Drosophila melanogaster: one gene and its partner. The protein of the gene in region 1 interacts with the protein of each later gene in a pairwise test. Each region holds a gene or a part of one and is shown on either strand. Other genes may lie near its edges. The genes, in order: Regnase-1 and Lapsyn.

Evidence for each region.
Region 2: the proteins of Regnase-1 (region 1) and Lapsyn interact in a two-hybrid assay, tested with the Drosophila melanogaster proteins (one large-scale study listed by BioGRID).

Annotation. Positions count from the first base shown.
Region 1 is NT_033777.3:20,033,092-20,038,009, reverse strand, and holds Regnase-1 (regnase 1), read left to right. Parts: upstream 1-1,953; 5' UTR 1,954-2,091; coding exon 2,092-3,714; 3' UTR 3,715-3,820; coding exon of another isoform or gene 3,821-3,968; 3' UTR 3,969-4,129; downstream 4,130-4,918. Other genes in the region: idc (identity crisis), read right to left, coding at 3,821-3,968, 4,384-4,494, 4,552-4,686, 4,845-4,918.
Region 2 is NT_033778.4:21,192,045-21,199,868, reverse strand, and holds Lapsyn (Leucine-rich repeat activity-regulated protein at synapses), read right to left. Parts: upstream 6,299-7,824; 5' UTR 6,003-6,298; intron 2,262-6,002; 5' UTR 2,259-2,261; coding exon 2,076-2,258; intron 1,849-2,075; coding exon 1,705-1,848; intron 1,640-1,704; coding exon 1,435-1,639; intron 1,378-1,434; coding exon 1,192-1,377; intron 1,108-1,191; coding exon 952-1,107; intron 895-951; coding exon 737-894; 3' UTR 438-736; downstream 1-437. Other genes in the region: tud (tudor), read right to left, coding at 7,743-7,824.

The DNA of each region.
Region 1 (4,918 bases):
ATGAAGCACATTTAAAGGCCTCTAACGGCAAACGTAGCTGTGGGCATAAATTAAAGCTCTTGTCAGGCGAAAGGCTCCACAGAAATAACCATCTCACATCCTGAAATCGACAAAAAAACCAACACACATCCGCCTTTTGCCAATGTGTCGGGAACTCATGGTTAATCAGCTTAGACAACCTCCGTCATCGGGTTCGAGGCATTTTGTTGTTTTGCCTGCTTTTTTGGGCACATCAAGAGGCCTAAGAGCAAACAAATAACTCGAGTTCGGTGGCCAAGGGGGCTTTTTTCCCTGGAAATGCTTTTAAAAATTAAACAACTGATAAATGACAAAGTTCGTTGGACCAGAAATTATCGTTTGACAAATTGGCAGGCCCCGATGAGAGCTCATCTATTGCCTGGCAACCACGTGGTGAGCAAGTCCTTTTAAGATCCTGCAGATGAAGAGCACTTACGGCGGAGCCAGACGAATTACTAGTGACCAAATGGTTCTATTGACTTGGAAAATTAACTAAGAGAAGATTTTGCGTTGAAGGATTTACGATGAAGGACTTAAAGTAAGGTCGCGAATATTTTCTTTGTTCTCTGTCCTATATGATTTCTTTTATGGCTTTATTATATTTTCCAAGATGTTTTTTGTTCACTTGCGCTGGTATTCAAGTTTCTTTAACCTCTTTTATTGTTACGCTCTGCAACACAAAACTTTGACCACAAACCCGTACACAAAAGTTAACTTGACACTCAACCACCGAAATGTAGTTAAATAGTGCATCATCAAAAAAATAGACAAGGATTCAGAGTACGGTAAGGAAAAGGACTTTACTAATTATCCGTTAAGCAGGAAAAATGCCAGCAGAAAAATCCAAACACGCTCAAAGAGCAACAATAAATTTTACGACGGCCATAATAAAAAAAGATTGGAGCACAAATTTTAGCACTTGTCGTGTGTCTGAGTCAGGAAAAATAGAGTTTCGCAAGGACTCGCCACTCAAAATGCATCCTTATCCTTTAAGGGAAACTCACTTTCCCTGCGTGCGAAGAGAATGACTCGTTGCTTTTTAAGCGGACCCATATAGTATACATATAAAGCCACCCCAAAAAGAATCCTCCCATGGCACACGTAGCAAACTTTACGTCCACTTTTATAGTTTTTTTATGTAGCGCTGTCCCACTAATTGCCACATGACTTGGCCAAAGATGACAGGACGCTGCAGGACGAAAGGAAATTAATGAAATTACTTTAGTGTCGCCGGAAGGAGGGGGCGTATTGCGTATTGTATATGCATTTATCCAATTGCACTTCGATCGTAGCATATAGATATCTATGTAACCATGATAGATGTGACCACTTATACCTAGTAAATTATTGAATTTGTGGCCAACTCGAGGCAGTGCATCCTTTTTGTCATGAAAAGGGGGACCAAACGTACAATGAAACAAAGAATTCAATACGAAAAACATGTACTTTATTTTAACTAATTAAATCGAACTAAGTGAGATCTATAAATGTTGATAGTAGAAATTGTTAAAACTATATTCGAAATACTTTATGTACAATAAATACAATAAAGAAATGTTTATGCATGTTACTAAATCGAAGCTGGTGTTTTATTTAAAAGTTGGGTAGTGTAAGGTTGGAACTAGCAAGTATTATAATAGAATAAATATAAATTTTATATACTTAAATTTTTCTATACGTTTTTGTATGGAACACGTATGTAAATACGTTTAATTGCAAGATATTCTGGCAAAGATTAAAGATTCGTTATTATGTATTAAACATACATATCTGGCGGGCATTTTAAATCTGAATAAGAGGAAGATGAATCCGTTTCCTGTTCTCCAAATTAGTGATGAGCGTATCTTATGGCGCCTAGCTCTACTACAATCGATACCAAGGCGGCAATGCTGTTTTGCTAACCAAAATGTTCGATACAATTCATCGATAAGACCGTGAATGGGCAACCCAGCTCTAGTCTGTAAATGTAAATAGACGGAACTTGCTGCAGAGAACAGCTAAAAACGCAAGGAAGCGGGCAAAACAAACAACAGGAGCGAGCAGCCGAGGGAAAGCCAGCCGCTGGTCAGTTAGATGCGCATCAAGATGGATTGCGAAGTGCAGGAGCAACACAAACAGCAGCAACAACAACAGCAGGTCCACCAGCAACAACAAAAACACGGCAGCAGCAACAAGTTGCCAGTGAGAAAGCAGGAAAGCTGCTCCGACGACGATGAGAGCCAGAGTCCCAGCCGCACAACGGAGCGCCAGAACCTGGAGTTCGCCAAAAAGCTAGGCTACAGCGAACAGTCCATCCATTCGGCGCTGACGCGCCTCGGCTCGGAAGCCAAGCAGAACGAGCTGCTGGCGGAGCTGATCAAGCTGACGGCCGATGCACCGCGGCCCGCCCACATAGGCGGAGGCGGCAGTCCATCCAGCATGACCAGCACTCTGTCCTCCCCGACCGGCGGTAGCAACAGCTCTGGCTTGAGACACATCGTAATCGATGGCAGTAATGTCGCCCTTTCTCACGGCAACAATCTAGTATTCTCTTGCCGCGGCATTCGCATCTGTGTGGACTGGTTCCGGCAGCGTGGCCATCGCGACATCACCGCTTTCGTGCCCAACTGGCGCAAGGAGATGGCGAACAACAACATAGCCGACCAGGAGCTGCTCTACGAGCTGGAGCACGAAAGATACCTGGTGTTCACGCCATCGCGACATCTGGATGGCAAGCGTGTGTCCTGCTACGATGATCGCTTCATACTCAAGCTGGCAGTGGAAACTGACGGCATTGTAGTCTCCAACGACAACTACAGGGATCTGATCCTGGAGAGTAACGAGTTTAGGCGCGTGGTGCAGGAGCGCCTGTTGATGTACTCTTTTGTAAATGACATCTTCATGCCACCCGACGATCCGCTGGGCAGATCGGGTCCAAATCTGGACCTCTTCCTGTGCTCGCAGACGCAGCAGAAAATGGCGGATGCGCAGCAGTTGTGTCCGTACGGCAAGAAGTGCACCTACGGCCAGAAGTGCAAGTTCCGGCATCACAATCAGGCGCCACTGCTGCAGCGCCTCCCGCTGCAGGCCTCCCACAGCGCGCCCCTGCACACGAACGGTGGCCAACAGTTGGTCAGTCCGGGTGGCAATAATAACAATGTTAAGATCAACTCACTGATTAGCCGGGAGCCGCTGGGGCGCACCAAGTCAAATACCATCGAGCAGGTATGTCAGGGCTTCTCCGCTCAAATGGATCTTTCAGAGGGTGCCGTGGAATCCAGCCAGCCCAATCGCCACAAGAAGCTGCAGCGCCAACAACCGCCGCCCGCCTACCGCCTGCTGGTGCCCACCTACAGTGCTCCCCTCCAGCAACAACAACACCAGGCACAGCAGCAGCATCAACAGTCCAACTCCAGCACCAACTATCACCACCAGTATCTGACGCGCACGCCATCCGCCCCGGTCACGGATCAGGGACTGGGTCTGCCACTGCCCGCTCACAACTTCGCCCATCTGTCTGCCTCCGATTCGCGCATCAACGAGGAGCTGCACGCCTCGCAGCAGCTTCCGCGGGAGGAGCAGCGCCGATTGCTGCGCTATCACCTGGGCAGCCTTTTCCCACCGCACCAGGTGCATGCCGTACTGCAGCTCTATCCGGAGGAGACCGACGCCAAGACCATATGCGCGGCTATTCTTAATTTATTTCCGCATAATTAGGCTAGGCTTAAATTTCATCAATATAATTAGATGTGTAATTACACGCGTGTTTCTGCTTAAAGTGTAAAGTGTCGCTTTGGGACGACGTGGAGTCCTCGCTCGAAATTTACATATCCAGGCCAACGATGTTGGCCGTGTCGTAGGACACCAGCCCGGCTACGGATTCCCGTGCGGACTGGCCGCGCCTCTCGTGGATGACCCGGTGGTTACGCAGTTTGTACGCCTGCGGGAATCCCTTGCCGCACACATCGCAGCTAAAGAGAGAGAGCAAACGTGTTTTAAATTGATTAGAATCCTTGATTAATTTATGTCTTCCTTATAACTTATAATATTTAAACACTAATACTTCATTCCCTGTTTATCTAATGTTATTTACGCCTCAGGCACCTAATAAACAATCAACTAAACTCAAAATATTAATATACTACGTAATATTCGTAAACAATAATCTTTTGAAACAGCATGGCTCTTTCAAAATAGTTTCCACTGTGAATTGTACATTCTTATAGAATAAAAAGTATATTTTTATAAACGATTTCCATCTCTCTATATCAAAAAAAAAACTCAATCTGGTTCTGAAGCTAGTGTATGCATAAACAATCTGTGAAACAGTGAAAGTTCGTGCTAGAGAATACGGACTGTAACCGCCAGGGGGAAAGCGAAACTTACACGTGCGGCTTCTCTCCCGTATGAATCATTTTGTGGAACTTCAAGGTGTTGGTGTAAGTGAATGTCTTGTGGCAAACATCGCACTCGTAGGGTCGCTCGTTGGTGTGGATTCTGCAAACGGGTAATTATTCAATCAAATCGGGTTTGGATTGGAGCTCACCAACTTACCTGTGGTGCTTGTTACGCGTGGACAAGTCGGCGAAGGCTGCCGGGCAATAGCTGCATTTGTACGGCCGATTTCCGGTGTGGGTGTTCATGTGGCGTGCCAGCTGCTGAGCCTGGGCGAAGCAATGACCACAGATCCTGAAAAATGAGATTTTAAGTTAATGAAGGCTTATTGAAAATGATTAATTACTTCCACACAATCATTATACCCGAATTAGACGGATATATGAGCTAAAATCGTAATAACACTCCAAAGAACATAGTGAACACGCAGTAAAAACTGTGAAGTTACTTACTCGCACTCGTGCGGCTTCACGCCGGAGTGGACCTTGATGTGCTCGGTAAGGCGACTCTGGGAGGGATACATGTT
Region 2 (7,824 bases), on another chromosome or scaffold:
GAGCGACGAGACTATACAAAAGCATTTTAAGAGAACGCAGGCCGAACAAATTGTAAAGAAAAAGCCTAATAAAATCGAAATTAATATATAAATTAAAATCGAATTAATACGATTTTTTCATTAGCAATTTGGTAATTCAATTAAAATGAATTGTCGATTGAACATGGAACTGAATGCTCTAAGCCTGTAAAACCATTGCATACTTGTTGGCCGTGATGAAAAGGCTTCACCACCAAGTCGGTTGCAAAATAGCTTGCCTACTTTCAGGCTGATGCACTTTAAATTGATTTAGGACAATTTTTAAGTTAAACTAAAATAAATAAATAACGATATATTCAAATAATGTATATCTCTAATATTTTTCCTTATTCATAAAAATACATAATGTTGTTAAGAAACTAAATATCCAAGTCTAAATACAAACTCAATACAGACTTCTTCTTTAAATCAACGTTTTATTGTCATTCGTTATAAAAAATCCACTCCATTGCTGGCTTAAATCTATGTTACGTATTAAACCAAATAAATAAGCGATGGCTTTTGAGCAAGGCAATATTCTTTGATGGCGCTGTTTTTGGTTTTTGGTGATTTTGTGTGATTTTTGGTAAAGGATTCAAGGCAGTTTGCTAGGTAGACGGTTGTCCTAAGGCTAAACTAACGCATAAATGGTAGGTAATAAATAACTGGCACCTAAGACTAACTAACTAACTAAGCAACTAATTAACTAACTAAAGTGCTATTTTCGGGCAATATCACAGTGCAGAGGCTCGTCCTCCGGCTGACGGTTGTTGATGGCGTTTCTGGGCGAGATCACAAACGGCTTTCGCTTCTGGGCATTCCTCTTTCGTCGCTGGGCTCGTTTTCTCCTACAGTGTATCACGCAGAAGATGACAACTGTGGGAGGTGGGAAATGTATTTACTTATGTCGAATAGAACTAATTCGTAACTCACTTAAAAGCACAAAACAAACTCCGCCAAAGCAGCCAGCTCCAAAGAGCCAGAAGCTGCGCGTTTCGGCAAACTGCAGTGTCGTCTGGCAACTGGCGAATGTTGGCGAATGGATCGTTCGATTGTAGGGCAGTGGACACTCGCGGATGTCGAGCGCCTCTGAAAATGGAATTGCAAGTTGGTCATGTGCCAAAAATAAGCAGCTGCTCCGACTGCAGCGCCATCATCGCCATCACTACTTACCCAAGCAAACTGGCACGAACTTCGGACTGGCGCCGAGCATCATAAGATGGTTGGTGACCTGCTGGCAGCCACACTGGCTCAACTGCGACTTGGTCAGATCGATGACCTGCAGGTGGCACATATTCGCCAGGCTGTCGATCCTGAAGTTCTGCAGCGGATTCATCGAGGCATTCAGTTGCCAGAGTTCTGAAGAGAATCGTTCAATATTAGATAGATTCCATATATCTACATATCTCTGCTTACTTGGAAGTATGCCCAGATCGGGTAACTCCTGTAGCTCGCAACCTGCCACGTTCAGGTACTCCAGTGGAGCACGAATGGGCTTCTCCAGTGCCTGAAGATTGAGGGATGTTAGCTCATTGCTATCGATGTATAGGTTTCTCAGTCGCGGCAGCTGGAACAACTCCAGCGGTATCGTTGTCAGTCCATTATTCGAAAGATCAATTTCCTGGGAATTTCGATTAAGAAATTAATTAAAGACACACTCGTTGATTAATTGGATGTCGTTGTTACCTGGAGCGAGGTGAGTGGCTCGAAGGTTCCCACCTCCACCGATAAGATCATGTTATCATAGAGCATCAGAAACTTAATGTCCGTGTATCGCTGAAACGAGCTAGTTTTCAGCTTCCTGATGCGATTGTGCGATAGATCCAGAACCTGCAAAAAACATTCAGCGAATTGTCAGATCATTTAATTTCAGTAGAGAGTTTTGAATGGCATGGGTAGGGTTCCCATACACATCGACTATGCATGTCGGTGTAATGGATAAATTTATGTTTGTGGGCAACTTCTTTATTCTTTAATTAAGCTCAATTGAGGCTAACTGTGACGAGGGGCCCAGCAATGACCAAGTCTGATCGCCTGACCCCTCGATCGTTACTCACCTCCACCGAACTCTTGAGGTTCTGTGGCACCTCCTTGAGGTCCAAGTCGTAGCAACGAATCCGGAGCAGCTTATCGATATGGCCGTACGTGCACTTGCGCACTTCCGACTGAATGATGAATCCGGCGGAATGCAACAACTGGAGGCACACGATGAACGTCAGCAGCTGCCAATGCAGTTCCATGCTCTGCCAAAATAAATTAACATATATACATATAGATGAAAATGTAAATCCAAACGATGGGACTTCATTTCGGCGCTAACTTGTTTATATTCTTGATTAAAACTAGAACAATAAATTTAAGCAAACAATCGCCCATGGGCTCGTCAAAGCGTTTATTTTCGAATTAACAATTTACAAGATCATTGCCGATCGCTGGGGGTCTGGGTCTGGGTTTTGATTGGTTTTTGGGGGTGAATGCGGACTCGCATCCAAAGCTGAATGCATTCAATCAAGCGGATCTACCGCACCTGACAGATGGAATTAAACCATGGCAGCTCAGATACAGATACAGATACAAACTGAGCTCAAATTCGAAGCCTAGGTCAGCTGCTGTTGGCCTGCGTATACGCGATATTCATATTACGTATACGTAACACACAATCAGTGTCATTCCCGCTGCATTCATGCACATCAACAAAAGATGATTCCGCATTGCGGCGGCGGAAACATTTGGCGGCCCTATAATAGTAATAAAAGCAACTAGCCCGAAAAATAACTGACTCACTGCCATTTTGGGAAGCACTTGCCATTGCTCCAATATCTTATCGTGCGGCGTGTAAATCTTTTGATTCTACATCAAACAGCAAAAGGGGTAGCCATAAATCAAACAAATATTCCATTAAAATGCCTTTATGGCTCTTTTCAATATGTCAGATTCACAAAAGCATTTCCCGAAATTTGCCAAAAGCAATATAAGTGTTTTTGGTGAAAATGAAAGCCAATAATCGATTATGGGCCAGAAATAGGAATGCTTCGACGTGATTTATACCTCAGGATAAGTACATATATCTAGACATGATCTAAACATGTAAGCCCACTCGGTATGCACATTTGGGAATTGGAAATGGCCAGAATCCATTGTTAATGTCTCTGTTACGCCCCATTGAAGGGCAATTAGAAAATTGCACGTTTCCCAACTTTGTATCAGCTGGCTTTGCGTGATTTTGCATTGTGAAAAATGTGAAAATGAAAACCGAACAACATGAGTAATGTCTTGAGTATTGTAATTTTCCATTTGTGACATTCGGGCTAATTGCTGTCGCAGCTGAAGTTTTCATCATTTCGCCCAACGAAGCTGAAATTCCCGTGAAATCAATTGCGGGTCAGCAAAAGTGGATAGTTCTATTTACACGAAGCTCAAACGCTTGCTTACCAATGAATGATGAACGACGTCGTAGATATCCATCCATATTGGCAAATCACTTTGAGCCCGTCCAAGTGGCGGAATTAAGACATATGGAGCGCCCAGTTGGCCGATAAGATCTTGGCCTCTTGCAAAGGCAACAAAAGAGTGCTAATCAATTATAAAGTTAGTAACCATTCGTCGTTGCTCATACTAGCTGCGTTGGCTTGGAAAAATTTAAGTGATTCATGGTCCCCATTTAGACATCATGATTCGACCATTTATTAATTTTTGCCTATTTTCCAGCTAGCTGAAGTGTCTTGGCCTTTGACCAAAAAATGTTGCGCTCCACTTGAGAGGCATGTGCTCACGAAATGAAAACATAGAAAATGAAAAACAGTTTCTGCCAATATGTTTGCTCCACTAGCGGAAGCGTGGCGCACACTTTTGCCACCCAGTGTGGTGCGGCTACCTCTGTCATTAGAGCCGCCTGTCGAATCAGCGAAAAAACGAAGCAGAAAATATCAAAAGAAATATTGAAGCGATTTCCACACACATTCTCTTGGACTGACAGCAACCGCAACAATGGCTATAAATATATTTCATATATTTAAATTAAAATTAACCAGAAAAGCCCAAAACAGTGGCCAGAATGAGATGGCAGCATAAACAGTGGCGACCAAATGCAAACTTTTGGATTTGAGGAGATTGCATCGCATCCCCCAGCTGACTGACTTTATTATACAACTTTTGTTAGGGGGCTGGGAATTCAAGGAAATTGGCCATAAAAAGGGCTAATGCCAGGCACCAAATGGTAGATCCACTTGGCGGCTATGGCCATAAAAGTGATCCCGTCCCGCAAATCAAATGGTGAATCCGAATTAGCCTTAGATATTAGTTCTTTGCGAGTTGGAATTATTGGTTGGGGTCACAATTTATGTTTTTCACTTTCGCCGCATTTGTTCAGCTTCAATATTTATTTATATATTATACCCAATCAGGCGGCAGACCAGACAAACAATGCCATGGAAAGGCGAATGGGGTGGCAGAAATGGGTTACGGATCGGAATGGTCCAAGGCGCTAGCGATTCATTCACCCAGCTGCCCGTATCCGACTGTCGACCAACGGATTGCAGCCTGCCCGATATGATAAATATGACGAGGAGGGATTATTTATCTGTTCGCCGAGCCAAGCGATTATTGGACTAACAAAACGCAACATGAAATCGAAAATCCCCCACCACAAAAAAAAAAAATCGGAAGATAAAAAAAAAACACGAAATTAGTATCAAATATTTTAATAACATTCTAAACATTTGTGAATGGATTTATGTGCTCTTGTGATAGTTCCTGTCACACATTGTGGGCGTCGCAGAAGTAGGCATATATTATCGGCTATACCCCGTCCGATCGGCATATATATCTTTCAGCTCCACCCCCTCCCTGGCCGACCCCCAACAGGTGTGCGTGTGTGTGTGTGTGCACCGGAGGGCCCCGAGATTTATTCACATTTCTCGTTGCTACGATAAAGATTTATTTGTTTGGACTCTTCTCTCTCTCTCTCTCTCTGATGCACTGATGAAACATTGCTTTGAGACAACCTTCCCATCTGGGCTACCTTCTCATTACCACCCACCTCCCAGAAATGCCATTGGGTAACAATCATATTTTCCTCAAAAAAAACCGAAGCTTATCAGAGTACGTCAAGTGCTCTTATCGTGTAAGTCCCCATTCTGCTGATAGCTTCTTTCAAAATTATAACGGCGATGCCAAGAACAATAAAAAAAAAAATTAATTGAAACGGCCCCGTAAAGATTGGTGTAGCATAAAAGAGCGTTGTTCATTTATTTCAATTAAACACAATCAAGAAAACATTTGCCCAGGGACTGAAAAAAACAAAAAAAAAAAAAAACAAAAGTATCCAAATACAGTGACTACTCTACTTTATCGGAATGCCAGTCGAAAATATCATATTTCGATCATGTGTTTATTATTTAAGAATATGACATTTTGTATAACTTTTCTTTGTTGAGAACGTTTCCCTATTCTCGAGGCTTTGATTACTTTTCCAGAACACACTGGCTGTAAAGATTAGTCTGCGCCTTGATAAGCAGGTGTTCCCTACGTGTTTTTACCACAGTTAATTACTGAATAAACAGCCCTGCTGAAGCGTTACTTTTAGTAGATACACACAGCAAGTAGTATATAGTATATAGTGAAACTTTTATTTTATCTGCAAGATATGTGTGCTACACACACAGAGAAAGGCTCACAATTGCCGTTGTGCTGCCTCCGCTAATTGAAATCAATTTAACTTGGATTCTATCGCATTATGCTGTCGTGGAGACTCTTTTGGTTGCATATAGAGCATATAGAATCCAGAGACTGGCGCACATTTCAATGCTAAGTTTCCTGATTAGAAAATTCAATATAGCTTACACAGCTGTTGTGCAATCTAGTCGTAGTACTATGTGCACCATTCACGATAACCCGCCAGACCCCATAATACTACCATCAAGAAAGCAAAATAATCAACAAAAAAAAATCAAAAAAAATCCAAACAGATTTTTCCGTCCGCTTACCGCTGGGGAAATTCAAGTGTTCAGGTATAATCCCATTTAAAGTCGGCGATGATAATCCTAGTAAAATGGCAGGATTCTTGTTAGTTCACTACACACACATCACTCTATGCTCTTCTAGGATTCTTCGATTTTCTGTGATCTTTATATATTTTATATATATGTAATATTCAAACAGCTTTATATGTTATATTATCAATATTTTTTAGTTATGATTACGCCGTAGAATGTTATAGCAATCGTTACGGAGCGCGCACGTTGGCCGGAACCGTTCAATTCAACCGCAGACACAGAATTGAAACGATCGTTTCAGTTTTTGGCCTTTCGGACTCCGACAATCCGATCGCCCGAGCAAAGCACACCGAAAAATGCTGATAAAGCGGACGCACGCTCCCAGATGACACTGCACTGCACTGTGAAAATTCGGATGGAAAATTCGGAGTGGAGAGAGAAGCGCTCTCTTTGATAACAGCAATGGAAACTGATACACTCTGCGACTGGAAATTGAATTGTTTTCGGGATTTTGACAGTTCAAATGTGGATATTTCTGATTTGGCCGGCCACTCATTCAATTAGCAAGCGATTGATAATCGAAATTGATACAGAGGCATCTAATGAAGCATCCACGCCAGCTGACAATACAGTTGTAAACGCGTATGAATGATATCGCAACTAACTAAATGAATGTGAATGATATCGCGGATAGTCAGCAATGAGAGCTTGATCCGTATCATAAATGTGGGCAGACGACTTAATTCTCTTCTTATCAACAGGTAAAATTCCCAGGCACCCGTAGATCTCCTCAAGCACGGACATGAGCCCTGTCCGTCCGTTCGCCACTTTTCCACATCGTAATCCAATAAATCCCCGACTGACGACCGCTAATTGCTACCTGGCACCGGGTCTGGAACTCCAGGTATAACTACCAGGTAATAATATACGCTCTATATGGCATTACTTTTCATCGTATTTATTGGTTTGTTTTAATATATTGTTCACAACATGAAAAAGAAATAGTAGAAAAATATGACATTGTGATTGAAGGTTTTAATACATAAACCCATATTCCATTAGTTTCCTTTTAGTTTCCTTAAGTCTTCGATTTGCAATGTTTCTTGTTTGTTTAGGTAATGAAAAGTAAAAAAAGTACGAAAAACATATGTGATTCTTCAGTTGGTTAATCGAGAAAAGAAAGTACAAATACAGTTATAAAGGGAAAAAATAAATAATTCATCTGGAGGAGGTTTAAACTTCACTCCACTTCTCTTCAATTCGCCAACTTTCGTTGATGATGTAAAATTGTTTTAAACAAGGTTGAGCAATTAAATAAATCGTCATCCGCCTTAATAGCTACTAACATATATAGGTTAGTGCCAATTTTATCTAGATTACATTTTTTTTTAAAGTTTTTTTCAATATTTTTCGTTTGTTTTTATACATTTTTTTTCAATGATTTTTCGTTTTTTTTTTTGTTCGATTTTTTTTCGTTTTGTTGTGTTTTTGGTGATAATGTTTTGCATTCCGTATTGATTCTTTAATTAATATTAAAAATTGCTTTCATTTTGGTTTTCCATGAAAAGTCAATGAAGCATCTTGGCTAATCGTGTGGTGTCCTCCTCTTCCCTTTGAATAAGTTTAACTCGTTCAACTTAATGGATAATACATCGCATGTTTTTAGCCAACCCAATCACAATCTCCTGCATGGAGCACATATGAGTCCGATCTGACTGTACAACGGGGTGATCACTGACATTCCTGAAGCTTCTCGCTGATGTTCTTGCTCTGGTAGAAGAGTCGTACGACATGGGTGCCAGTTCCCTTGGTG